7 linked regions of the Canis lupus familiaris genome follow. The protein of the gene in region 6 interacts with the protein of the main gene of each other region in a pairwise test. Links are inferred from orthologs where the notes say so. Each region holds a gene or a part of one and is shown on either strand. Other genes may lie near its edges. The genes, in order: NSG1, UPK1B, GALNT2, STX5, EMD, KASH5 and TMEM11.

The links.
Region 1: the proteins of KASH5 (region 6) and NSG1 interact in binary tests that used the Homo sapiens proteins (3 or more experiments, as listed by UniProt). The two-hybrid records come from large-scale screens. The link is inferred for Canis lupus familiaris from reciprocal best matches to the Homo sapiens genes KASH5 and NSG1.
Region 2: the proteins of KASH5 (region 6) and UPK1B interact in binary tests that used the Homo sapiens proteins (3 or more experiments, as listed by UniProt). The two-hybrid records come from large-scale screens. The link is inferred for Canis lupus familiaris from reciprocal best matches to the Homo sapiens genes KASH5 and UPK1B.
Region 3: the proteins of KASH5 (region 6) and GALNT2 interact in binary tests that used the Homo sapiens proteins (3 or more experiments, as listed by UniProt). The two-hybrid records come from large-scale screens. The link is inferred for Canis lupus familiaris from reciprocal best matches to the Homo sapiens genes KASH5 and GALNT2.
Region 4: the proteins of KASH5 (region 6) and STX5 interact in binary tests that used the Homo sapiens proteins (3 or more experiments, as listed by UniProt). The two-hybrid records come from large-scale screens. The link is inferred for Canis lupus familiaris from reciprocal best matches to the Homo sapiens genes KASH5 and STX5.
Region 5: the proteins of KASH5 (region 6) and EMD interact in binary tests that used the Homo sapiens proteins (3 or more experiments, as listed by UniProt). The two-hybrid records come from large-scale screens. The link is inferred for Canis lupus familiaris from reciprocal best matches to the Homo sapiens genes KASH5 and EMD.
Region 7: the proteins of KASH5 (region 6) and TMEM11 interact in binary tests that used the Homo sapiens proteins (3 or more experiments, as listed by UniProt). The two-hybrid records come from large-scale screens. The link is inferred for Canis lupus familiaris from reciprocal best matches to the Homo sapiens genes KASH5 and TMEM11.

The regions. Positions count from the first base shown.
Region 1 is NC_049224.1:70,378,274-70,382,203, reverse strand, and holds the start of NSG1 (neuronal vesicle trafficking-associated protein 1), read right to left. Parts: upstream 2,801-3,930; 5' UTR 2,708-2,800; intron 2,491-2,707; 5' UTR 2,465-2,490; coding exon 2,336-2,464; intron 1-2,335.
Region 2 is NC_049254.1:23,511,391-23,515,347, reverse strand, and holds the start of UPK1B (uroplakin-1b), read right to left. Parts: upstream 2,801-3,957; 5' UTR 2,645-2,800; intron 1-2,644. UniProt on the Homo sapiens protein: Component of the asymmetric unit membrane (AUM); a highly specialized biomembrane elaborated by terminally differentiated urothelial cells.
Region 3 is NC_049225.1:9,621,604-9,625,857, forward strand, and holds the start of GALNT2 (polypeptide N-acetylgalactosaminyltransferase 2), read right to left. Parts: upstream 2,801-4,254; 5' UTR 2,733-2,800; coding exon 2,607-2,732; intron 1-2,606. UniProt on the Homo sapiens protein: Catalyzes the initial reaction in O-linked oligosaccharide biosynthesis, the transfer of an N-acetyl-D-galactosamine residue to a serine or threonine residue on the protein receptor.
Region 4 is NC_049239.1:54,388,737-54,392,236, forward strand, and holds part of STX5 (syntaxin-5), read left to right. Parts: intron 1-895; coding exon 896-1,012; intron 1,013-1,096; coding exon 1,097-1,153; intron 1,154-1,325; coding exon 1,326-1,407; intron 1,408-1,873; coding exon 1,874-1,980; intron 1,981-2,147; coding exon 2,148-2,269; intron 2,270-3,500. UniProt on the Homo sapiens protein: Mediates endoplasmic reticulum to Golgi transport.
Region 5 is NC_049260.1:123,237,323-123,241,245, reverse strand, and holds EMD (emerin), read left to right. Parts: upstream 1-1,141; 5' UTR 1,142-1,230; coding exon 1,231-1,312; intron 1,313-1,399; coding exon 1,400-1,507; intron 1,508-1,669; coding exon 1,670-1,747; intron 1,748-1,974; coding exon 1,975-2,108; intron 2,109-2,541; coding exon 2,542-2,615; intron 2,616-2,692; coding exon 2,693-3,026; 3' UTR 3,027-3,423; downstream 3,424-3,923. Other genes in the region: collagen alpha-1(I) chain-like, read left to right, coding at 1-358, 421-747. UniProt on the Homo sapiens protein: Stabilizes and promotes the formation of a nuclear actin cortical network. Stimulates actin polymerization in vitro by binding and stabilizing the pointed end of growing filaments. Inhibits beta-catenin activity by preventing its accumulation in the nucleus.
Region 6 is NC_049222.1:107,767,635-107,771,134, forward strand, and holds part of KASH5 (protein KASH5), read right to left. Parts: intron 693-3,500; exon of another isoform or gene 678-692; coding exon of another isoform or gene 650-677; intron 187-649; coding exon 82-186; intron 1-81. UniProt on the Homo sapiens protein: As a component of the LINC (LInker of Nucleoskeleton and Cytoskeleton) complex, involved in the connection between the nuclear lamina and the cytoskeleton.
Region 7 is NC_049226.1:42,883,548-42,886,156, forward strand, and holds the end of TMEM11 (transmembrane protein 11, mitochondrial), read right to left. Parts: intron 1,403-2,609; coding exon 886-1,402; 3' UTR 501-885; downstream 1-500. UniProt on the Homo sapiens protein: Plays a role in mitochondrial morphogenesis.

The sequences.
Region 1 (3,930 bases), on a different chromosome or scaffold from region 6:
CGGAGTCAGGAGAGAAAGCAGCCCATGCTGGCTGCCACCAAAAAGTGGTCCAAGGGCCACAAAACCCATAATCACACACCTGCCGTCTTCATTCCCTGATGTGTGTGCAGCTCTCCCGACGCTGAGGGGGGGCACGCCTAGCGTGACAGTCTGGGTACCGGCCGGGCTCTGGAGCAGCCTCTGTGCATCACCCTGTTGTCCTCTAGTCCCTACTGTCCCCTACTAGCTGTGTGACATGGAGCACACACCCTGCCACTCAGAACCTCAGACTCCTGGCTCGTGAAATGGGAGCAAGGCTGATCTCGCCCGGCTGCAGAGAGCAGACGGGAATCCACACGACGCTCGGCACCGTGGGAACCCGCTCAATACTCCAGCCGCCTGCGTTCGTCTGCATCTGCCACTAACACGCAGGGTGACCTTGGACAAGACCCTCAATTTCCACATCTGTAAATCGGAGGCAATAACGGTAAAGAAATTTAAGCACATGAACAAATGCCTGGCACGTTGCAAGCATCAACAAACGTCAGGTGAGACTGGCCCTGACGCTGCTGCCAGCTCCGTGACCCCTGTCACTGCAGCACCTCAGCCCTCAGTGCACATTCTCAGGACAGACTCCACTTATGACCCTGACTGCGTGACCTGATCCCACAAGCCCCATCAACTGGGGCAGGTGACATCGCCTCCCTGAACCCTGGCTGTGAGCAACACAGTGCTGTTGCTCGGGTTAAGTGAGGTCTTGTGTGAGAGAGAGGTCTTGTCCCAAGGAGAAGGGACCATGAGGCCCTGCCAGAAGCTTCTGTGTTTGTAAGGATTGTGGCCTTCAGCCGTGTGACCTTGGGCACATCCTGTGAACTCTCTGAGACTCCGTCTCCTCATCTGTGACCTCAGAAATCTTCTAGCCCAACCACTGGTTCCTGTGTCTGGAGCATCCCTGCCAGTTCCGTCCTTTGGTTTGAACACTCCCAGGGACGGGAGACTCATTACCTTTCAGACCTACCTAGGCTACTTCTCAGTGATCCGATTGTCCAGGATTTCACACCTGCCTGAAAGCCCCCTCCCTGGTATAAGCCAGACAATTCAGAAATGGAACAGACTGAGTGCAAAAGAGGAGGCTCAGGCTGAGCGGAGGGAGTCACCTGACAGAGGTGCTGCCTCGGGACACAGCGTTCCTGGCACAGGCCGCCACCACTCTGGGCCTGGGGCTGAGGTGGGAGGGGAAGGTGGGGGCAGTGGAGCGGGCTGAGCCGGCTCAGCAGGGAAAGGGGCTGCACAGGGGGAGGCAGCCCTGCCCCAGCCGTTCCCCCAGCCTCCTTTGGACCATCAGTGCCCCAGAGTGGCCCCACGTGGCCGGGTGCACAGGTGTGCTCCTCGGGGCCTCTTGCTGAACTGGAACACCTGCTGCCCCCGCCCCCCCACCCAAAACGGAGACAATAGAGTTGGAGGGATGGGAACCACTCCAGAGGACTAAGTCAAAGGGTCCATATGGGAATAAAGGAATCTTCCAGAAGGAAAGGCCGCATCGCGGCGGAGATATTCCCCTATCCCCATCCGGTGGTCAGCCGTGGCCAGCATGCCGAATAAAAGACAAAGACCTGAGTCAGAACCTCCTCACCAGGGCTAAACGAGACAATAAATGTAAATGCACTTCGGGGAATAGAAGGAGCTCAGTCGTGGCCGGGGTGGTTTTTAAGCAGCAGCAAGGTGGTCAGAGCGGGCGCCGCGTTTATTATTTTAGGTTTGAGTTCTACAATACCATTTTCCAGACTTTCAATCATTGCATTTACCTTTGTAAACGCTAACTCTTGAAAACATCCTTAATGGGCAGAAACCACTTGATCGGATGCTGTACTCGAGAAAAGAAGGGACTCTTGAAATCAGAAGAGAAAACCCCACTTCGGGGAAAGGATGCTGAATGGTTGGCCCCGGCTACACTCCCACCCAGCGCGCAGGGCGCTTACTTGAAGATTTCACAAAGGAACAAAGAGAGGAAGGAAGCCCGGGGAAGAGCAGACACCCTGCGGCATCCAGGGCCGGCCGGGGGCGCGGGGGCGGAGGATCGCGTCCAGCCCCCGGCGGGGTCCAGCCTGGGGCTCTCCGCGGCGAGGGGGCCGAGGGGGGCACGCCCCAGGCCGCCCCAGGCCCTCACCGCCTGCTGCCCGGGGCAGGGGCCCCTCTGTGACAGGACTCCCAAGAACACCGAGAGGCGCCCGTCGCCGACCGCGCTCCCCTGCCGGGACCGGTCTCCGCCCGGGGCCCCCGCCCGCCCCGGCGCACGGCCGCGCCCGAGACTCGGGGTGCGCCCGGCGGCGCGGGGTGCCGGGGCGGGGGCTCTCACCTTGTCCGGGGGCGGGAACTGCAGCTGATTGACATCGAGGGGCGTCATCAGGGGGATGGTGTCGAAGCCATCCTCCAGCAGCGGCTGCTTGGTGCCCTTCTCCGCGAAATTGTTCCCCAACTTCACCATGGTTCCGGGAGAGCCGAGGCTGCCGCCTGCGGGGGGGGGGGGTCACCGCGGGCTCCGGGCTCCGGGCCCCCGCCTGGCCTCGGGGCAAGAGGGGTGGGGGACGCGGGGGGAGGGGGAGGGCAGGGCAGGGCAGGGCAGGGCAGGGCGGGGGGGGCCCAGCCCCTACCCCCCGGGGACCCGCGGACCCGGGCTCAGGGGCGCCCCGCGGCGGCGGAGGGACCCGGCGGAGGCCCCGGCACTCACCCCGCCGGCTCGCAGGTCTGGCTCGGAGCGCGCGGCGAGGTCCGCGTCGGCCGCTCCCGCGCGCAGCAATGGCGGAGGCGGCGCCGCGCGGGGCCGGGCGGGGGAGCCGAGCGATTGGGCTCGCGGCCGCTCCCTCCCCCCGCTCGCCGCCTCCCCTCCCGCCGCCCCCGGGGCCGCCCGAGCGCTGAGTGCGCGCCTGTGGCGGCGGCCGCGGCAACTCCGCCCTGACGCAGCGCGCGCGGCCGCGCGAAGGGGCGCCCCGGGACCCGCGCCCGCCCGGACTGCGGGGGGCGCGCCGGGGCGGGGGGGAGCGGCCCCCGGGGTGGGGGCGGCGGGGACCCGGGGGGAGGAGGGACCCGGGGGAGGGGGGCGGGGCGGGGCGGGGGAGGCCAGGGACGGAGCGACCCCCGGGTGGGGGCGGCGGGGCTGGGGAGGGGCCCCCGCGTGAGCGCGGCCCTGCGGGGAGGGGGGAGGCGGGAGGGGTCGGGGCGGAGGGAGCGCGGGGCGCGCTGCAAGCGCTGGAGGGAGGGGGCAGCGGTTCCTTCCCGTTCGCCCGAGGAAGCGGGGGTCCCCTCCCTGCAGCCGCTGCCTGGAGCGTCCGGGTCGCAGAGGAGCGGCCCCGGTTAGGGCGTCACTTTGCGGACGCGGGGCCAGCCCCGGCTGCAGGACCCCAGATGAGGAAAGCGGGGCGCGGGGGCCAGGCAGGAGCTGGAGGCGGCCGCGGCCAGGGAATTGGGCCTTTGCAGGCACCTGTCTGTCTCGGCCGTGCCGGGGCCCAGAGTAGGTGTCCCCAGAGTCCCACTTCCGCACCCCAGCCTGTTCCCGCAGCCGCCTGCCTCTCCTGCTCCAGGACCGCAGGGAATGCACTGAGCCAGCCTCGCAGCCCAGGCCAGGAACCTGGCCCCGGGCACCCTGAATTCCAAGGCCCCAGGAGGGCCCCACCCCTTCCATACAAGAGATCATTCATTGATTCCCACCCGCCCCGAGCTCCGAGCTCCGAGCTCCGCAGCAGGGCTGCTGACAGCTCCCCTGGCAGCCTGGGGGAGGCAGGTGCCCCAGGTCCTGGCCCCCCTCCGGCCAGGTGCCGGCTGCGGGCATCTTCCTGGCAAAGGCCTTTATACCACAGCACGGATGCGGTGCCACTGCGTGTCTGTGTGTGGGGTTTCTTGTGTGGAACCCCAGCCCCTTGTGTGGAGCTTCCCTGCTGACGCTTGGATACTTCC
Region 2 (3,957 bases), on a different chromosome or scaffold from region 6:
GATAGAAAACAAGCAAATGGGGTGAGGTGAATTTTAAAAGGTGAGATTGGTAGAGGGCTGTTAAGAGAGCCAATTAGTGGCTGTCCACTTCAGAAATGTTATCACCCTTGACTGAAAGTATGCAGCTTGCCCGAAAGTGTTTTCCACATTCAAGAATAGCCTCTGTGAGCCCCACCCTGTGGAAAACTGCCCAGTGGCCTGGCACCATGATGATATACTCCAATTGCTCAACATCCCAGGAACTCCTTTGCTCTGAGGAGGGCAAACATTTTAAAAGGCTAGGTTTTATTTTTTTTTCCTTGTGCCCTCATTCCATTTGTTTTCTTATAAAAATTACTCATATCCGTAGTGTTGATGTTTCCAGACACATTGAATGGGTCTAAAAACCATTGCTCACTAAACAAACCCTTTCAAAGCAGAAGAAAAAGAAGTGAGTCTCTCCCATCAAGCATGAGCTCATTTTTTCAAGTTCATTACCTCTTTTCCTCACCCAAGTTTGTTGGGCCAGAGCACACGCAAACCACACCTCAAACTCTAGCTCATGCTAGAGAAATTTGGATTAACAAAGGAAAAAAAGAGAGAGAGAGAAATAGGAGAGGAAGAAACAAGAAACACACTGTGCTGTTCCCTTAGCCCCGACCTTGAAACTCAGAACAAAGGCAGACAGTTGTTCGACTTGGAGGGGAGAAGAAAGGTGGGTGTGGGGATTTTAGATCAGAGCCATTGCTGGTCTGCTTATATTTAGGGAAGGGATGAGTCCCTGGGAAAGGTGACAAGCAGTGCTTGTTCCCATGGCCATGACACCCAGGGCTCACAGCATCCATTGGTTTTTCTCCCTTTCAAGCTCTAAACCTGCTCTCAGTAATATGGTAACTAGTAGCCACATGTAGCTATTTTCATTCAAACTAGTTCAATTACATAAGATTTAAAATTCAAAATAAAATAAAATAAAATTCAATCCTTGATGGGATGAGCACTGGGTTATGCTACACATTGGCAAACTGAACTCCAATAAAATAATAAAAAATAAAATTCAATCCTTTGGTTGCAATAGCCCCATTTAAAGTGCTCAATAGCACTTGCAGTTGGTGGTTATTGTATAGAACATTTCCATCATCACAGAGAGTCCTGTTGGATGGCACTGCTCTGGACTCTTGATGTTTGCCAGCTGACCTCAGAGTCATTCACCCACCTTAAGTCAGGACTAAGAAGCAGTGGCTCATTCTCAGGCAAGTGAGGACCTCAGGGGCGGGCAATGCCAGCTGGATGCCCGGCCCCAAGGCAGGAATGCTATGGAGACTCCTTGGGGAGGTAAGATTAGGGCGCCTCTTTATGAATTCAGCCTTTGCCCCAGTTAGGGAACATCAGGGGTGTGGGCAGCCTGCAGGGACTCATCGGTGTTTGCTCTTGGTAAGAATGTAAGCAGGAGAGGTCAACAAGAGACTCTGAGATTTCATTTGTTTTTCTCGACTAAATGGTGTGTAAATTCCCTTTTGGATTTACAAGTCTATGATTCTTTCCAGGTAGTTAAAAAAGAAATTGGTGATTTGGTTTTTCAGCCTATTGTAGCAGAAAGCAAAAAAGGCTGTTACAGCAGAAAGCAAAATGAGGAAAAAAAAAAAAAGCAAAATGAGAAAATTTCTTCCTCATTAAGGAGAACTAATCAAAAGGAAAACTGTTTCTTTACAAGATTTGAAAATATGTGTGTGTGTGTGTGTGTGTGTGTGTGTGTGTATAAGATCTAAATGAATTCTTTCTTCTTCTGGTTAGCCAACTGTATTCAGGGAAGAAATGATTGGTCAACATTGTCTTTAATTTAAAAAAGGACATTGAAATTAAAGAAATTCCAAATGTGTTCAAAATCTTTGAAACTAGTTATAAGTGGAGTTTTAAACCTATAAACATAAACTAATACTAGCATTATTGGAAACTCAATTCGTATTACATGTAGAAATGTTGTTACAATGAAAAATATATTTAGGATCTGTGGACCCTGTAGATCAACTAATTGGTGAAGAGTAAAAATAAATTATGTAAAAATAACATTACATAGATAAAGCTAATTTGTTGACTTATTTCAACTGCCACATTTCTTAAACAGAGTTTGCAGAGAAGAAACCATGAGTAAATTGCCTCACATATTCCATTACAAGTAGGCAGGATCAAATGATTTCAGACAAGATGACCAGGGAACTTTCTACTACATTATTAAGAAAGAACATGACCCATTTCCTTAAATTTTCTTTTTGCTTCTCTGACTTCACAAGGAAATTGGGGTCCACGGGGGTCTGTCTGAAACTTTAATCAGGAGACATAGGTTTTCCCAGGGTTCTTGGATTTTCTTGGTCGTTCGGTCAGGAAATTGGAGGGTAAAATTAGGATGGGTGAATAACACTCTCAGATCCTTCATTTCAGTTCTGAGAACTGGACAATTTCAAAAGGTTTGAGAAGGCAATTTGTACATTTAAAGTAAAAGAGAACAAAATCGTCATAATAGTCTAAGTTACAAAAAATGATGGATCTCTTCAGGAGGAAATTATCTTCTTCCCCTCGCCCTTTCAGGCCCCATCTCACCTCCCAGGAAAGCAACCCAACCATTGAGAGTGCAGTTGGCTTCCCTGCAGAGTGAGATCCGACTACTCACCTGCTTCTCCTCCTCCTCCTCCTCTTCCTCCTCCTCCTCCTTGGGCTGTCCTGGCCCTCTCTGCACGCTGCTCTGGCCTGAGGTGCTTTTCTACCCAGCACCAATTCTCTGAACCTCCTGGACCAGGGAGGAATGGTCTGTGATTGGGAGGAGGCATCTCACATGAGCTGAACCTGATGCCGCCTGAGCTTGCCTCACTGAGGCCGGAAGTAACAGGAAGTTTCCCGACTGGAGATTTCTGCTACTTTGGAATGTGTGATTCTGACAGATGGCAGCACCTTGACAGGCCTTAGCTCATCATCACTCCTCTGGATTTCTCCTAGGTCTGGGCTTTTGTTTTTGTTTTGATTTGATTTTTTTAAAAAAAATTTTATGATTTGATCCTTATTTTTGCTTTTGTGCCCTTAAAGGCCTATCTATTGTCCTGATTGCTCAGAGTCATGCTGGTACATGTCTGTCTGTCCAGGGTCACGTCTAGTTTCGGTTTTCATAACTTGCATATGCTACATTTAGGGGGGAGAGCAATTGCCCAATTAATACACCATAGGTGGTCCAAAGACCAATGAGAGTAATACTGCCCCTCCCTCTTCTCCCCTCCCCACCTCTGCCCTCCCCTCTCTTCCCCTCCTTTTGTCTTCCCTTCTCTTCCTTCCCTCCCCTTCCCTTCCCATCCACTGGAGCCACCACTTCATACCCAGCACCAACATTTCTGTTAATGTCTGCGTAACATATCATGGTTTATGCGCACAGTAGTTTATTTAGCCTACAGTTCGGGATGGGTGATGGCAGCAATATTAGAATTTGTTGAGTGCTTTCATCAACAGATGCAGGCATTTTCTTGGGTCTGGATCATCTCTGTAACAGGTTAGGTTCTTTAGGAAGCAGACCCCGAGACAAAGTTTAGTGTGCAGTATATTTATTAGGGAATGGCCCTGTGATTAATACCCTTGGAAGGGAGAGGAAAGAAATAGGATTGGGCAGAGAGAGAAGACAAGTGGCCATGCAGGTGGGACTGTCTCGGGCAACCCCCTCCCTCCAGCCGGGAAGCTCCAGGAGATGTTGGCCTGCCACGGTTGTTCTGCATGGGGCCCCTCTGTGATCAGTCCTTAAATAGAGGTCACCCTGGGAAGGTGGCTTTCAGGGTGAGGCTAGCCCTGAAGGGGGCTGACACTGGAGGCTGGGGTTGTCAGCACTCCCAGCAGCTGGGCAGCACACACCCCCTTGTTCGGGGGGGACCTGCATGGGGCATCGGTGCGTTCATCACACGCCTTATTCCTCCTCAGTCCTCCAGGGCCCACTTAGATATGGCTTGA
Region 3 (4,254 bases), on a different chromosome or scaffold from region 6:
CAAAGCCTAATACTGAAGCCTGGTACCCCGTGAAAAACATCAGGGCAGAGCGAAACGTGCTAAATACAGAACAAGAGCTTTGACTTATTATAGCATAGTATGAATCAAGAGAAGAAACATTAATTCCACTTGCATCTAAAAAACTATAGCTATTATTTACATTCTGCCTTCACTTGCATACCACATGATCTTTTTTAAGTCCATACTTTGCAAGCCCCCCCCCCCCAAAAAACCCAACAGATTTCCTTTCATCATAAGGATGAACTAAATTTGAAGACTCTTTAGTCTTTAAATCCATGGAAACAATTCAGGAGGAAGGAAGACTACCCAGTTTTACACTCTAGATTAGGAAATTCAGGACAGCGGGGTTCTATTCAGGCCCTCCAGAATGGTCTCGCAGCTTCGACTTTTATACCAGCATCCACAACCCTAAGTTAATGAGTCTTTTGCTGTGATTTCAAAAGCTATTGCATTTACACACCTCTTCCTCAACTGACAAATCACTAAACCATTCTAAGGGCTAGGATTAAATTTTATGGTTCGTTGACAGAAAGAATAGAATCCCAAATCACCAATCCATGTATAATTGTTCATTTCCCACACATTTTTTTCCTACCTGATCTCCATACCTTCCCATTGCCACTAGGTCACAAAGAGTTCTTGGATTTTTTTCTTTCAATTAAGGATACCCCTCAAAAACCAGCGGCTGAAGGCCACCAGGGAGAAAGCAGCCTCTCTGGATGCTAAGGACACACTGTTGCTGTTTCTAATCACAGGTACTAAGGAAAGTACTAAACCCAAGGAAAGAGAAATACCAGTGTGGCTTATTTGTTTGTTTTTCTTTTGCATGAAAGGCAGAAGGCTTTGCCAGGTCCCACCAGCATACCAGACCTTGCAGACCTGCCAAGGCCTAGTTTATTGCAAAGCAAAGTTTTGAAAAGAATTTCAGTTTAACATGAGCATAGTTTTTAAAGGGCTGCAGTGCTCCTACTGGATGCACTGCTCTTCACCATTCAAGAATAAACAAGAGACTTCAGGTACATCTACAGCAGTTCTCTGCATTAAAAAAAGAAAAAGAAATTGGGCTAAGAGCACCCTGTTGGCGCAGAACTAAGCTAGGCCAATTCAGCACATGGAAAGACTTTCCATTTCTGTTCCCTCCAGATAAAGCAAACCCATGCAATTTCCCAAGACTCACACAAGATACCTACCTCCATCTAATACCTTCAGGTGAGAATGAATGAATCAGTGAATCAATGACACAAACAAGGGGGGAAACCTCAGAGGCGGCCAAACCTCAGCGTTGACTTCACCTGTCTGACTTGAAGGCTAAAAAGTCTGTTCATGCACGGTCGGTCCCGTCTGGCTTGTTTCAGAATACCATTCGCTAGTTCCAGCCCAACCCGCGGTCCACCTCCATGAACTCAGAATTTCCTGGGTTCGCGGTGACACTAAACGCCACAGTAATGAGGGTTACAGGATTTTGGAAAAGATAGCGCTGCTTTCAAAGCCTCTTGCCCGCTAAGCGCCACAACCCCGCGGGCGGCATGTGCCCAGCCAAAGCCCTCCGCCGGCAGCGCGCGCGGCCGCAGGACCCCGCCGTCGGGGCTTCCCTGGCCGCCCCATTTCCTCCCGAAAACGCCCGGCTGTCGGGGGGCTTATGCGGTGCCCGGGGCCTAGCCCCTCGGCCCCCGGGAGCCTGCTCAAAGCACGCCCATAGGACAGGGACCACCCCCGCGTAACCAGGCAGCGGGGCTGGGAAAGGCACGCTCAGGGCGCCCGGGCCAGGCGGGGCCAGGAGGGTCGGGCCGTGCGGGCCAGAGCCTCGAAGTCGGGGGGCGGGGGTGTCTGTGGCCGGCCCCACTCCGGGCGAGGGGCGCGCGGGCCCTCGGCTCACACCCGCCCAGGGAGCCCCTTCTCTCCGGCACCCGGCTGGCTGCACCCGCCGCCGCCGCCGCCGCCCCCAGGGGCGATGGGCAGAGAAAGCGGCGAGACCCCGAGCTGACCCCGAGCTGCCCCCCAACTCCCGCCGCGCGCTGACAAGGGGGAAAGGGGGGAGGCTCTGCAGCGGCTTGTATCAAAGGGCTGGAAAGAAACTTGGACTCCTCTCTCCCGCACACGGCGCTTCGGAGAGGCGGCCGCCTCTCCCTCCTCTCCTCCCCACCCCCTTTTGTGCGTCCCAACACCCCCGCCGCTAAACTTCCCACCGCAGGGGACGGGGCTCCCGGCGGCCGGACCAGACTCAACTTCAGTTACGCGGAGCAGACAGAGGGGGACGTCTACCCGGAGGACGCGCACGGAGGGGCAGGGGGGCGCCGAGGAAGGCGTCCGGGGTCCCGCAGGGCCGCCGTCTCCCGAGCCGGCCGAGCGCCGAGGGCCCGGTGCGCCCCTGCCCCGGGGGGCCGGCCGGGAGGCCGGGGGAGGGGAGCGGGGGCCCGAGCGGAGGAGAGCGGAGGGGCGGGAGCCCCCGTCGGCGCCCGGCCCGCCTCGTCCCGGCGCGGGGTCCGCAGCGGGGCAGGGGGCGCGTCGGCGCGCGAGGGGCTGGCGGGGAAAGGGGAGCCGGGGGCTCGGGGGCCGGTCGGGCCCGGGCAGGGCGCCCCACTCACCTTCCTGCCGGCGCCGCCGCCCGCGCCCGCGGCCAGCGCGGAGCCGCCCCCCGAGTACATGTAGTAGGCGATGCCCAGCACCCACAGGAAGGCGAAGCAGAGCAGCATCCGCGAGCGCCGCCGCATTCTCCCCTCTCGGCCGCCGGCCGCGGCCGCCGCTGCTCGCGAGTGCTGCCTGGGGCCGGCGCGGGCGGGGAGCGGGCCGGGGGAGGAGCGGAGGAAGGGGAAGGGCGCGGCGGCGGCTCCTCCTCCGGCGCGGGCGGCTGCTCGGCGGCGGCGAAGGCGGCGCGCGCCCGGCGCCCGAGCTCCGCCCCGGGCCGGGAGCGCGGCGCGGCGCCCGAGCAGGAAGCGGCGGCCTCGGAGGCGGCGAGCGGGTCAGGGAGCAAAGGGCGACCAATCGGCGGCGGCTGCGGGGGCCGGGACGCGGGCCGGAGGAGGGGATTGCCGCGTCTCCATGGCGGCAGCACGCGGGGCTCCGGCGGGAGGGCGTCCGCGGGCCCGGCCCCGCCCCGCCCCGCCCCGCCCCTCTGCGTCCTCCCCGCCGCGGCCCGGCCGCCCCCGTGAGTGACAGGTGGCGGCCCGGCCCGGCCCGGCCCGGCGGAGCGCGCGCACGTGCACACACACACGTGCACACGCACCGGGGCCCGGCGGGGAGGCCGTGGGCGCCCCGCTCCCGGGCCTCGGGACCCCTCGGGCTCGCCCTTCCCGGCCCGCCCGCCTGAGTGCTTTGGTGCAAACCCGCCTGCTGGACCCGACTTCGCCCCTGCTCGCCGCAGTTTTCTTTCTAATCTCGCAGCAAAACATCCCTGGTCCCCAGTTGTCGATTGTAGGTATTTATTTAGTCAGAGGTGGGGGCCCACGGGTAGAATGCGAGCGGTCAAGGGAACGTTTTTCCGAGAAAATGGACAGCCCTCAGTAGCAGGATTATTTTTGTTTAATTTTGTTGTTAAGAAACGCGAAAGAGGAAGAAGGGATGCGACGTATTTTGTTTTTTCGATCTTTTCCTTTGAATGTGTTGCTTTCTTAAGAGAAGAAAGAAGAGTTAGCACATAAACATCTCGGGAAAATACACCTGTCTCGTAACAGATCTCTGTAACCTTGACGATGCCCTTGCCACACGCAAAGTTTCCCCGTGCTCCTAAGAAAGAAAGAACTGTTACTTGGCGCTGGTTGTTTCGAACGCGATTTCAGGAGCTTCCCCGTCTGGAGGATAAGGCAGCTGCCTGAATCTGAATCTCTACTCACCAAAATACAAACACAAACAAGCCTTCGGCACCGCTAGGAGAGGGAATGCCGGGAACTGAACTTCTAATTACTTCTTAAGTAGAAGAAAGAAAAGACATCGGATTCCAGCAGCGCTCCTTGCACTGCTGCCAAGGACTTAAGTGAAGTCCCGGCTTAAAGCCTCTACAAAGAGAAAGTCCAACACCAAAAACTAAAACTGAACACAGGTCAGGTACTTAACAGGGAAGAGGTTTGAAAGAGAATGGGACAGGAGGTGGCAGCCTTGAAGAAGCCTTGCTTCTGGGAGAAGTCAAATAAATAAAGAGAGGGTAATGCCCTTTGGAGGCCTAGCAGAGAAGGGAAAGAAGGAAGTACAAAGGGCAAATTAAAGATCCTACAGAAATAAAAGACGGCCAGTCCCTCC
Region 4 (3,500 bases), on a different chromosome or scaffold from region 6:
GGGGAGCAGAGGATGCCTTGGTCGGGTGTAGAAAGCCTGGCTGTGCTACTTTACCTCATTGTGTGTGATCTTGGACAATTCACAGCTTTTACTCCTTTGCAATAGTAATTCTTGACAGGAATTCTGTATATAAGAAGTATTTTGTTGGTGCTTCCTGGAAACTACAGAGACTTTGACTCTTCCCTTCACCTGACTGCTGCCACAGGTGCTTTGTTGGTCAGCATGCTCCAGGTGTGAAATTTTGGTCTTCAGAGTAGTTCTGTGGCCATGTGCCTGGCCTCCTGAGGTGGAGTTGGGCTGTAGGATGAAGGGGGTAGTCAGCTAAGCATCTGCCTTCGGCTCAGGTCATGATCCCAAGGTCTTGGGATCAGGCCCTGCATTGGGCTCCCTGCTCTGCCTGCAGATCCCTCTGCTTGTGCTCTCTTTTTCTTTTTTGTCAAATAGATAAGTAAAATCTTTAAAAAAAAAAACAAAAAGGAGGATCCCAAAAACCGTGGCTCAGCAGTTTAGCGCCTGCCTTCAGCCCAGGGCATGATCCTGGGGTCCTGGGATCAAGTCTCACATCGGACTCCTTGCATGGAGCCTGCTTTTCCTTCTGCATGTGTCTCTGCCTCTCTCTCTCTGTGTCTCTCATGAATAAATAAATAAAATCTTAAAAAAAAAAAAAAAAAAAGAATGAGACCGTATTTCTCCTTTTCTGGCTCTACTCTGCAGGGACTGAACCAGAGCAAGGTCCAGAGCTTGGAACCTCCCAGCAGGCCCTTCTGGTCTGACTTTGAAATACCCACACCCCTGCTCGTAACTTCCACTCTGTCCTCTGTGCCAGAGGTGTCCATGTGGGAGAGACATTGGCTGAGGACCCTTTTGTTAATAGTTTTTCTTTGGCTCTCCCTAGGACATCAATAGCCTCAACAAACAAATTGCCCAGCTTCAGGATTTTGTGAGAGCCAAAGGCAGCCAGAGCGGCCGGCACCTGCAAACCCATTCCAACACCATTGTGGTTTCCTTGCAGGTGGGACCTGGGGTCCGTAGAGGGGGAGGCAGAAGGGAGAAAGGTGTTGTCTCCTTTGGCCGACCCTCTCTTCTTTTCTTCTAGTCAAAACTGGCCTCGATGTCCAATGACTTCAAATCAGTTTTAGAAGTGAGGACAGAGGTAAGAAGAATCTATGTAAGGGGTAGGACTCGGGATAAGGGCCCAAGGGGAAATTGGGGAAGAAACAAGTGCAGGGGTGAGGTTAACAGGGTCCTAGGCCAACAGGAGAGTCTCTCTCTAACACCTGCTTTCCAGAGGCCTCAGGACCTTTGCATTTCTCCCCCAACCCCAGAACCTGAAGCAGCAGAGGAATCGGCGGGAACAGTTCTCCCGGGCACCTGTGTCAGCCCTGCCCCTTGCCCCCAACCACCTGGGTAAGTCACTGGCAGTGCAGGGAGCCCAGAGGGGTAAGGCTCAGTTACTTTGGCTGTGACGGCATCCTCTAATCCTGTGAGGGCAGGGCTTGCGTAGGAGAATGGACAGCCAAGGGAGATGCCAGGATTTTTCAGAGATCAAACCTGATTGCTGGCATTCATGACCTGCACTTCATCTCCCACATTCTCACTGTTGGGGCTGAATTCAATCATGGGCAGTAGAATGACAGTTTCCAGTATTCTTTTAATTCATTCAGGTTCTCTCATCTAATTTTCACCACCACCTCTGAGAAGGCAACTATTACTATGCTCCATTTTATAGGGGGAGGAAACTGAGCTCTAGAGAGGTTAGATGACTTGTCCAGGGTCACAAGGCTAGTAAGTGGCAGAGCTGGGATTCAAATCCAGGCCATGTGGGCTTTGAACCTTTCAACCACTAGAAAGTGCTTTTTCTTTCTTTCTCCAGGGGGCAGTGCTGTGGTTTTGGGAGCAGAGTCCCGTGCTTCTGGGGATGTGGCCATTGACATGATGGACTCTCGGACCAGCCAGCAACTACAACTCATCGATGAGCAGGTACCTGGGCTCTGAACTGGGGAGGAGATGCTCCTCTGTCCTCCTCTGCAGGCCACCAGCAAGTGTTTGAAATGTACCTTGAGTAGAGTGGCAACCTGGGAGGGTCCTAAAGAGGCAGGCCCTGCCCTGAGGAAGCTCCTAGCGCTGACGTGTGCTCTCCTTCGAAGGATTCCTACATCCAGAGTCGGGCAGACACTATGCAGAACATCGAGTCCACAATTGTCGAGCTGGGCTCCATCTTTCAGCAGTTGGCCCACATGGTCAAGGAGCAGGAAGAAACCATTCAGAGGTAAGACTCTCTCTCTCTCATCCTAGACAGAAGAGCCTTCTCTTCCCTGTGGGGTGGCATCTTAAATGTTCCCAGGGACAGCTGGATGTCCTTTGGAAGAGTAGAGTGAGTCTGGCCCACCCAGGGAATCCATTCAACAAGTGTTGATGGAGCGCCTGTTTTTTGTCAGGTGCTATTCTAGGTACAGGGGGTATAGCAGTTAGTAGATGAGTGAAGTCTCTGTAGTTTAGGTGGGGAATTCAGTAGGGTGGGTGAGGACAGCTGTTCAAAAGAGTTGACATGAACTTTTCAGGTAGTGATAAGCTCTACACTGAGAATTACAGTGGGATGATGTGTGAAGAAAGGGGCTAAGTGATTCTTCTTGATGGACTCCTAGGCTTCTTCCATATTTTGGCTGTTGTAGATAATGCAGGGAACATAGGGGCGCAGATATCTTTCTGAGTTAGTATTCTCTGTTCCTTTGGATAAATGCCCAGAAGTGGAATTACTGGATCATGTGATTAATTCTATTTTTAATTTTTTGAGGAACCTCTACACTGTTTCCTATAGTCACTGCAGCAATTTGCATTCCCCCTAACAGTGCGTGAAGGTTCCTTTTCTCCACATCATCACCAGCACGTGTTGTTTGTTTGTTTCTTTCCTTTTTTTTTTTTTTGATACTAGCCATTCTGAAAGGTGTGAGGTGGTACCTCATACCTCATTTTTTTTTTTTTTTTAAGATTTTATTTTATTAACTCATGAGAGACACAGAGCGAGCGAGAGAGAGGCAGAGGGGGAAGCAGGCTCCACGCAGGGAGCCCGATGTGGGACTGGATCCCAGGTCTCCAGGATCAGGCCCTGGGCTGCAGGCGGCGCTAAACCGCTGCGCCACCGGGGCTGCCCCCTCATTGTGGTTTCATTTGTACTTCCCTGATGATTGCTTTTTTTTTTTTTTTTTAATTTTTATTTATTTATGATAGTCACAGAGAGAGAAAGAGAGAGGCAGAGACACAGGCAGAGGGAGAAGCAGGCTCCATGCACCGGGAGCCTGATGTGGGATTCGATCCCGGGTCTCCAGGATCGCGCCCTGGGCCAAAGGCAGGCGCCAAACCGCTGCGCCACCCAGGGATCCCCCTGATGATTGCTTTTGAGCATCTTTTCATGTGCTTGTTGGCTGCGTGGATGTCTTCTTTGGAAAAATATCTATTTAGACCTTCTGCCCATTTTGCAATTGGATTTATTTGTTTGCTTG
Region 5 (3,923 bases), on a different chromosome or scaffold from region 6:
CAGGCTCTCCACGGCCTTGCAACCTCGCGCGCTCACCCGCGAGTACGCCGGGGCCCCCTGTGCTCGGCTCACCCCGGGGCCCACCCAGGCCCAAGCGCGCAGAGCCGGCCCAGCAGGTCGTCGGGGGCTTGAAGGCTCCCCGCCCCCCCAGGCTGCCACGGGGACGCCCTGGACAGCAGAGGAAAGCCCCGACGCCCCAGGTGGCTGGCGCGGGGGTCGGGCGCACGCTGGCCGCCGCCCGCACGCCGGGCTCGGCCCCCTGCCAGCGCCCACGGGCACGCCCAGTGCCTTGCAAGGATGCCCGCTCCTGGGGTGCCCGCGGCCTCCTGGCCCAGTGCCCCATTTCCTCCCGGGCGCAGTGGGAGGGAGGGAGGGAGGGAGGGTGGGAGGCGCTGGGGACCTGCGGGACGACGGGCGCAGGTGGAGAGCGGAGCGGGGCGGGGTGGCACCGGGGGCCGAGGCGGCTGCTGCCCGGGCCTGGGCCCCGCGGCCCCGAGGGCCCGCTCTCGGGATCGGGGTCCCTTCGCGCTGCGGCGGAGGCGCGGCCGGCCCGGGGCGGCCGGGGAGCGCGGGGTGCGGAGGGGGCAGGGGGCTGCGGGGACCGTCGGAGCCCGCGTGACTCAGGGAGCGCGAGCCGCGCCCAGCGCGTCAGTCCTGCGCCGCTTTCCTGTCCTGGCCGGTTTCTGCCGGTTCGACTTGCGTAGGTCCCCACCCCCGCCCTCCCGACCCCGACACGCCAGCCGGTGACGCCTCGACCGCCCGCCCCGCCCCGCCCCCACGTCGCGGCGAGCCCACGCTCGTCCCCGCCCCCGCAAGCCCGACTCCTCGCTCGAGCCCCGCCCCTGCGCGCCAGCGCGTGACGCCCCTCGGCCGGCGGGCCCCGCCCCTCCGGAGCGCGGCCCCGCCCCGCCGCCGCCGCCAGCCTATCCCGCCCGCTTGCGACGTCTGACGTCATGACGCCCGCCCCGCCCGCTCCCACGGTCCCCCGCTCCGCGCCGGCGCCGCCGGCCCGGCCCCGCCCCGCCCCGCGCGCAGTCCGCAGAGCCCGCGGCCGTGACGCGAGCGTGACGCAGGCGTGACGCGAGCGCTGCCGCTCCCGAGACGCTCGCGCCGCCCCCGCCGTGCTCGGAGGCAGCGGTAGCTGGGCCCGCGTCGCCAGGCCCGGGCCCCCCCAGCTCCCCGCCGCCCGCCGCCCGCCAGGCCCGGGCCCCCGGGTCCCCGCCGCCCGCCATGGACGACTACGCGGTCCTGTCGGACGCCGAGCTGGCCGCCGTGCTGCGCCAGTACAACATCCCGCACGGGCCTGTCGTGGGTACGCGGCGGCGAGCGCGCCCCCTCCCCGCCCCCCCCCCGGGGTCCGGCCCGCGGCCCTGACGCCCCGCGTCCCGTGTCTGGCCAGGTTCCACTCGCAAGCTCTACGAAAAGAAGATCTTCGAGTACGAGACCCAGAGGCGGAGGCTGTCGCCCCCCAACTCGTCCGCCTTCAATTTCTCCTATCGGTTCTCGGGTGAGGCCCCCGCCCCGGATCTCCACCTGGCCTCCCAGGGGGACGGGGTTTGGGCGACGGGGGGCACGGGGTCCGGAGGGTGTGGCAGGGGCGGTGGCTGGGAGGGGCACAGGAAGAAGGGAGGGGAGCCGGGGGCAAATGGTCCCGCCCCCCCCCCCTCAGACTTAGATTCGGCATCCGTGGACTCGGATATGTACGATCTGCCCAAGAAAGAAGACGCCTTGCTTTACCAGAGCAAGGGTAAGGCTGGGCGGGCGGGGGGGGGGCACCCTGGGGGGGGCACCCTGTCACCCTTACCCCCTCCCTCAGGGAGCCTGGTGTTGGGGGGACCTGGGATCTCAAGCCCGTCATCCTCAGCAGCCCCAGAGGGGAGAGACGGTGCCACAGGCTCCCACGTGGGACTGAGATTAGGGCCAGGTGGGCGCAGCCACTGTGCACCTTGCTACCGCTCTCCCCCCCTTCCCAAGGCTACGGCGATGACTACTACGAGGAGAGCTACCTGAGCACCAGGACCTACGGGGACCCTGAGCCTGTGGGCTCCTCCAAGGGCTTCCGCCAGCCATCAGCTTCACTCGCAGATTCGGACACCTTTCACCACCAGGTGAGTTGGCTGCCGAGCACCTGCATACAACCTGTGGGGGTCATAGCTGGGCTTGGACAAAACCTGGACGGGGGGGGGGGGGGGGGGGGGCGCACGCGGTAGGCCCTGTGCTTCCCGAGAGGCAAGGTAAGTGCACACCTCCCTTGGCAGGGCCGTCCTTGGGGGAGTGTCAGACCTAACACTAGGGCACCTGGGACGCCGTGCACCCTGACCTGGGATCTAGGTTTGAGATCTTTCTCAGACCCCCCGGGGCAGAAAGTAAGGTGCAGGCGGCCAGGATACCTGTCGAGTTGTGGAGCGGGTGACAAAGCCCTACCGGGCTAAGGCTGGTAACTCAGGAGGGTTTTGGAGGGAACAGGGTCCGGGTGTTTCAGCTAGGCTAGTTTGCAGTGAGGACGGGACAGGCTACAGGCTGCTGACTCTGCTGGCCAGTTCCCCTCTCCCTGACTGTTACCTGCAGGTGCGCGATGACAGTCTCTTCTCTTCTGAAGAGGACAGCAAGGACAGGTGAGTGGCAGGAAGGGCCAGGCAGCGGGTGGTTCTGGGCGCAGGCCCCCTGGCTCACCTGCTGTCCTCTGCCTCAGGGAACGCTCCGGGTATGGCCGGGACAGCGCCTACCAGAACATCGTGCACTACCGCCCTGTTTCCAACATCTCCAGAAGCTCCCTGGGCCTGTCCTATTATCCCACACCCTCTTCCACCTCTCCCATATCCTCATCTTCATCTTCCCCCACTTCGTGGCTCACCCGTCGTGCTATCCGGCCAGAAAAGCAGGCCCCTGGGGCTGGTCTGGGCCAGGACCGCCAGGTCCCACTCTGGGGCCAGCTGCTCCTGTTCCTGGTCTTTGCTGCCTTCCTGCTCTTTGTTTACTACTCCATGCAGGCTGAGGATGGCAATCCCTTCTGGACGGAGCCCTGAGGGGCTGGCTTCGTGGCCAGCTGTTCCCGGAAGTCCTGGCTGACTGCCTTAGTAGTGTCTGCTGGGGGAGGGGGTGGGGGCTTTTCTGTGTGTTCTAGCTTCGGTGTGCTGGGCTTGGCCCAGGGCAGTGCTTGCTCCCCTGCCTCGTTCTGCCCAGGAGGTGGCAAGCCCAGGCCCTCCGCGGCATGGCGGGCCCGGGCAGGCCTTCCTCTGGAGTCTCCTGGTCCTGCTTGCCTCTGATCCAGGGCCCAGGAGGGTAAGACCCTTCTCCTGGAGAGGAGAACATGGTTGTTGTCATTGCATGCCTCCTGTCTGTTGTCACCTCGTCGGGGGGGATTAACCCAGGCCACCCTGACTTTGTTTTCGTGGACACAATAAAAAGACCATTTATTTTTAACGTGTGGGCTCTCTTTGCTGGGAAGGACTTGGGCTGGGAGCCTCCAGGCCTTGGGTCTCCACGAGCAACATCTGGCTTTGTTCGCTCTCCCTTCTTGCTTTGGGGTTGGGGTAGGGATCGCATGCTACCCACGGGCACGTTTGTGCTTTACTGGTAGGGTTTGCTCCCTGACTCGTGACCCAAAGCTGCTGTAACTAGGCAAAGAAGCGTGCCCCCACGGGATGCAGAGAGCTCCCCCATAAATGCAGGTGAGGGTGCGTGCACAGCACTGGCTACAGATGTTCCGACAGGGAGGAGCCGACAGCCGGCCTCAGTACCCAAGGGCAGGTGGACAGGGAGGAAATGCGGCGAGTGGCGGGCTCCTCCCGGGCGGCCGCTTGTCCGGGGGGGGGGAGAGGCCCACAGGATGCCGCATCACCCCTGTGTAAATCCCACCCCTCACCTGCCTATGTTCTTGCTTATCTCCAGGTTTTCTGTGCGGGAGGCGAGCACCTCCACCT
Region 6 (3,500 bases):
TTTCCAGCTGCCCCCAATCCCTTATTATTCTGTGTGTCTACAGGCCCAGGGCTGCCTGGCCCCCCCTTGCAGCCTCCCAACCTGTCCTTTGGGTGTCACAAGCTTCGAACATAGAGTTGAGTATTTGCTCCTCCAAGCTCAGCAGCGTCCCCAGGCTCCCCTCCTCCAGCTGGTCCCAGAGGTACACTGGGGAGACAAGAGGAATTGCCCACCCATGAGAAGGCAGGAGAGAAATGGCTTTAGGTTCTGTGCTCCTGCAGCAGGGAAGGAACTCCAACTACCTGGAGTTGGGGCTAGTGGGGACAGCAATGTAAGGGTCTTTGAGTGGCCTCCTAGCTCCCCACCCTGGGGATGCGGGTCCCATCTTTCAGGCCAGGAGGTGCCCCCTGCTGTCTAATCCTTTGTGTCCAAGCCACTTGGGAACCCAGAATGACAAAAGCTCTGAGATTGCCCTTTCCTCCTCTCTTCTCCTGCCGCCCAGGCTCTGCTCAGAGGGGGCTAGGGGCGGAGGAGGGCAAAGAGAGGATTCCGGGAGGAGCTGAGGGTGAAGGGGAGCCCAGGAGCCAGGAACAATCCAATAAGGCGTGGGCAGCCTGGATCAATTCTGCCGGCTGCATCTCCTGTCTAGGGGGCCGGGTCTCTCTCCTACCTGAATCCCCAGGCGAGGCTGGCGTCATTGGTGCCCACAGCCCGGGCCTGAGATGAGAGGGGTGAATGATCTAGGCAGGGTAGGCAGTCAGGGAGTGGTTAGGAGCTCAGAGCCCAGCTACGCAACTGTGTGCAGGTCAATTCTCCCTTTGGAGCCTCAGTTTCCCCACCAGTAAAATGAGTGGGTATTGATCCCCCTCCCTCCCTTACCAGGACTGGGAGCAGTAGGTTTGTGTATGGGAACAGCCCTCCCAACAGAGATACACAATGTGCATGTCCCCAGGACTGTTTGTTCATCTCTGTATCTATTGTACCGGCATATAGTAAGCACTCAATAAATGCTCCAAGATACAGGAGGAGATCCTCCACCCCAGGAGTTACTGGACTCTGCGTCTTTGGAACTAGAGGTGACTTTCAAGGTTCCCTGTCCTGCCCTTGAACAACCGGGTATGGCAGCAGGTCTCGCATGGGCAGCAGTCTGACAGACCCAAGAGGCAACCCTAGTAAGGAGCATAGACTCTCCGAGCCTCAGTTTCTTCCTCTGGAAAATGGGGCTGTTTCCTCCCTCCCAGAGAGGAAGTGAGGTAAAATCTAGAAAGGCTGGGGAGCCTGGGCGGCTCCATCAGTGAAGTGTCTGCCTTCAGCTCAGGTCATGATTCCCCGGATCCTGGAATCCAGACCTCATCAAGCTCTCTGCTTAGAGGGGAATCTGCTTCTCCCTCTCCCTCTGCCTGCCATGTTCCGTTTGTGCTCGCTCCCTGTCAAATAAATAAATAAAATTCTTAAAAAAAAAAATCTAGAAAGGCCCTGGGCTGAAGGTCTGGCATGTGGTAGAGGCTAAATAACAGAACTGAACATTTATTTAGCAGTTAGTGGATGCCTTTCCTCTTCTGGGGGTTTTGTATGGACCCTGGTGGCTGTTATCATTAGCCCCATTTTACAGAGGAGGAGACTCGCACAGAGAAGTTAGGAATTTGCCCCAGGTCACCTGTTCAACATACAAATCCTTCTTCTTCTTCTTCTTCTTTTTTTTTTTAAGTATGCTCCCTGCCCCCCAATGTGAAACTTGAACTCACAGCCCTGAAATCAAGACTCGCATGCTCTACCGACTGAGCCAACCAGGTGTCCATGATTGCTCTAATTCTTTTTAGTCTCAGGGGATTCTTTGTAGAGAGCTAAAATTCAGCCCCTTCAGGTTTGAACCCATGCTCTTAGGAAAAGGGGGAAGGAACCCACAGTTGGGGGACACCAGGGCCCCTGCTGGAGCTTTACCTGAACTCTCCTGTTTGCTCCTCTCATTGTGCTCCCCAGGTAACCAAGGAGCACCCTGAGGCCCAGTGAGAATCACAGCCTGAGAGGTCACTCCCTGGGGCTGCCCAGCTAGGGAGAGTGGAGCCAGAGTCAACCGGGGACTGTCTGGCTCAGGGGATCCATACGGGTCTTCAGTCCCTCCCTGGGGTCCCCCAGGAACATGTCACTGCTTCTCCTGTTCTCTTTTCTTTGTTTCCGTCCTCAGTGTCTCTATCTCTCTCTGTCTCTGCCTTTCTCTAGTTTTCTCTCTGGCTCCTTCTCTCCATCTTCCTCCCCATCTCTCTCTTTCCGGTGCCCTGCCTCTCTGTTTTCTCTGTCTCTGGGCTTCTTTTCCCATTATCTCGGTGACTCTCTGTTCCCCGAGCCTTCTCTCTCCTTGCCTGACAGTCTCAGCATCTCTGCCCCCTCCCTCCCTGGGTCTGTCTCCATTTCTCCCGGGTGTGTCCTTCCCTTTCCTTCAGAAGCCTCCCCAGTTGGCTTGGCCCTGGCCCACGGGATCCTTGGTGGCTGCACGCCCTCTGCTGGTGTCCATGAAGCTGCTGTGGCAAGTCTCTTGGTCCACCTGCCCTTGGTCCCTGCACCCAGGTGTCTCCCTCCTACCTTCCCCTCTGGAAAGCCTCCTGAGGCCAGAGTCCAGGCCCGTAGCCTGGAGAAAAGATGCAAGCCCTGCTGCTGGACCCTGGGAGCCTCAAAGAAAGCAGTCCTGTCTCTCCCCTAGGGTGGGAGCCTCTTCCCCCATCACAATAAGCTCTCCCACTTAGCAGGTGAATTTTAGAGAGGACCACCCAGTGTCTCCCTTCCTCTTACTTCTTTTTTTTTTTTTAAGATTTTATTTATTTATTCATGAGAGACACAGAGAGAAAGAGAGAGGCAGAGACACAGGCAGAGGGAGAAGCAGGCTCCATGCAGGGAGCCCGACATGGGACTTGATCCTGGGTCTCCAGGATCATGCCCTGAAGGTGGCGCTAAACCGCTGAGCCACCCGGGCTGCCCGCTTCCTCTTACTTCTGAAGCTGGCTTTCACACCATTTGGGTGTACATCCATCCAAACAATCAAGGACCATAACTGAGCTCCTTGGAGTCATACATGGTTCTAGGGCAGCACTAACCAAACAGGGCAGGCACGTGCCACACACTGTTCTTGAGTGCTTGAACTGTGGTGAGACTTAAGTCACCCTGTTAGTATAAACTACACACCATATCTTGAAGCCCTGGTATGAAAAAACAAAGGAATATCTCCAATACATTTTTATATTAATTACATGCTGAAAGGATACCACTTTGGATATATTAGGTTGAATAAAATTATTCTTGTTCATTTTGCCTGTTTCTTTTTCTTTTAAATGTGGCTACAAGGGGCTTCTGGGTGGCTCAGTCAGTTAGGCGTCTGCCTTTGGCTCAGGTCATGATCTCAGGGTCCTGGGATCGAGCCCCACATCTGGCTCCCCACTCAACAGAGAGCCTGCTTCTCCGTCTCCCTTTCCCTTTGCCTGCTGCTCTGCCTACTGCGCACTCTCTCTCTCTCTCTGTCAAATAAATAA
Region 7 (2,609 bases), on a different chromosome or scaffold from region 6:
GGTGTGTAACATGCCCTTTGCTATGAGGGAGGGGCTCAGGAGCTGGCTCCTGTGGAATGGGAGATCTGGGAGAGGCAGTGGGCTTGAACTCCAGGTCACATCAGGAACAGCTTCGAGGCTTTGAAAAAAATACAGATGTTCCACCTGTGTGTCCTAAATGAGAATCTTTGGACAGGAGGTCCCAGGCCTCCACTCTACATGGACCCATGTGGAAACCCAGTGACCTCTAGGCCTCGTCACCTGATCCTACCATGTCCCCAAATAGCATTTAGCAGTGCTGGCCTTGAAAAGGAGGCTGGCATGAGCTGTGCGACTGCTCTGGAAGGGGTCTGGGCCTGCCTTGCTCAAAGGACTGTTCTTGCTGCGAATGGTGATCCCAGGTCGCAACAAGGAACAGGGCGGCACCCATGGTGCCCACGGCTACCACGTGCCAGCTACCACCTGGAGCTGTCTGCAGCAGCTGTAGGCAGTAATGGAAAGAGAAGACACCTGAAGTTGAAATTCTCATAATTTTAATGGTCAATAGCTTCTGGTTGGCTCTGGATGGTACAGTTAAACGATATACTTAAAGACCTCCCCCCACCCCCACCCCGCAAGCGCATTCACACCCCCTCAGTAGCGTTGCCATCAACATTCCATTGCCTGGTCAGACTTCCACACCTCAGACCCCCTGTGGGTTATGGAAATCCACATCTTAGTGTAATGAGTTGAAAAACCCTTGGTACACCTGTGACCTGTGTTATTTTTTTTAAAATAACAAATATTAAACCAAACACCTTCCCAGGCTCCGCTGCCTCACAGAGCAAAAAAATGTTACTGTGGCAATCTGAATACTCTTGTCTCTCCTGGGCTGGGCTGTTTGCTCCTCTGCCTGTCCTACTGAAATCATACGGCGTAGAGTTCGTAAATCTTCTTTACACAGTACACCAGGGCGGCCAGTGCTATCGTGTTGTGCAGTCTCTTTCTGTGCAAGTCGTCCTTCCGGACCAGCACCACCGGGGTAGAGGAAGTGAGTGTGTGCAGGGGCAGGCGGGACAGTTTATAGGCGTCGTACTCCACTTGGTACTTGCAGCAGGGGTCAAACTGCCAGGAGATCCCGTAGAGGGTGCAGCAGGCCAGGCTGAGCACGCCTGCGGGCAGGGAGATGTAGTGGGAGTAATCTAAGGGCAGCGCCAATGGGGTGAAGAGGCAGGCGGTACCCGCTAGCACGGTGGTCTTGTGCAGGCAATTGCCCACAGTGATCCAGCGGGCCGTCTCATCACCGATGCGCGTGGGCTCGATCACGATGTACTTGTACTGGGCTTCCAGGGCCTGCTCCAGCTCATATTCAAACTGGTCTTGGGCATTCTCCCCATTGTAGATCTCATGCACAATGTAACAGTCTGTGGCCGACAAGCTCACCCTTGGGGAGTTGGGGGGGGTGGGAGGAGAAAGAGGAGACAGTTAGGCTGAGAAGCACTCACCGCACTTCTGTGCTGAGACCCTGGGGAGAAGTCCATGGCTGAAGTCTGGGGCCTCAGGCTCACCAGAGAGTCTGAGGGCACCATGTCTCGCTTATGTTATCTTCCTTGGAACCCAATACACAAGGTGACTCAGTTAAAAAAAATTTTTTTTCTGGAAGAGTAAAATACTGAAATGTAGAAAGACAAAGGAAAAGGAGTACCCAGATCTCTAAGATGACTGCCTGCAAGGTGTACCAAACCTGGCGGTTAACTCAAGGCAGTGGAGTGAAGTTTGCAAAGGAGCCCAGAGGAAGAATGTTTTGCCTGGCATGCTGTTAACACAGAGGCCTAAGGTCGGAAAATGAAACGTGGTCTTGGTTAACCAGAGCAGGTGGAGGACGAATCTTCGATGGAAACCAACAGACCCATGGCTGGCTGTGCCAAACACTCTACCCTCTGCAAGGCTCAAAAGTAGTCATCCCTGGCCTGCAGAACACAAGACAGATAGGGTTGTCTTTTCCTTGGATGACAGAGAACAAAACTCCTCTGGCCACCATGGGAGGACAAGCTGCAGAAAACACCCGAGGCCAGCAGCCCCAAGAACACCAGCACACAGCTTAGGAAAAGAAGCCCTCTGATTCAACTAGGAAAAGACAATGCCTCAAGAACAGGGACAATGGAATTTAGTGTAAGAGGGACCTTAAGGGCCCCCAGAGGCTCCCACCCATACTGACCCTGTACCACCAGGACTCTGTATGGATTGCCAGGAAACGTTTCTCTCTCACACAAAAGAAACACTGTTCACAAAGACCCACTTCACGTGGCTGAGCTGATCCAACTCCTAGGACTAGGGATGGGTGACCTGACCCTCACCGGTGGAAGATAAATCCGGAGGCCAGAGACTCAGCTGGCCAGCGAGTGAGCTGTGACCATGGGCCATGGGGGCATTTTAGGTGGTTTCGGGATTCTATTTGAGGCCTCTTCAGTGCAAACTTTGCATCCAAAGCAGAATCTTTCCACACCCCTGATGGGCAAACCTAAATATAGACCTGTACACTCCTTGTCATTTCCATTTGGCTTGTTTCAGCCTGTCCAGATCCTTCTGAATTTCCATACCGTCATCCAACATATACCGTTTCTCCTAGTTTTGTGTTCTTAGTTCATCTG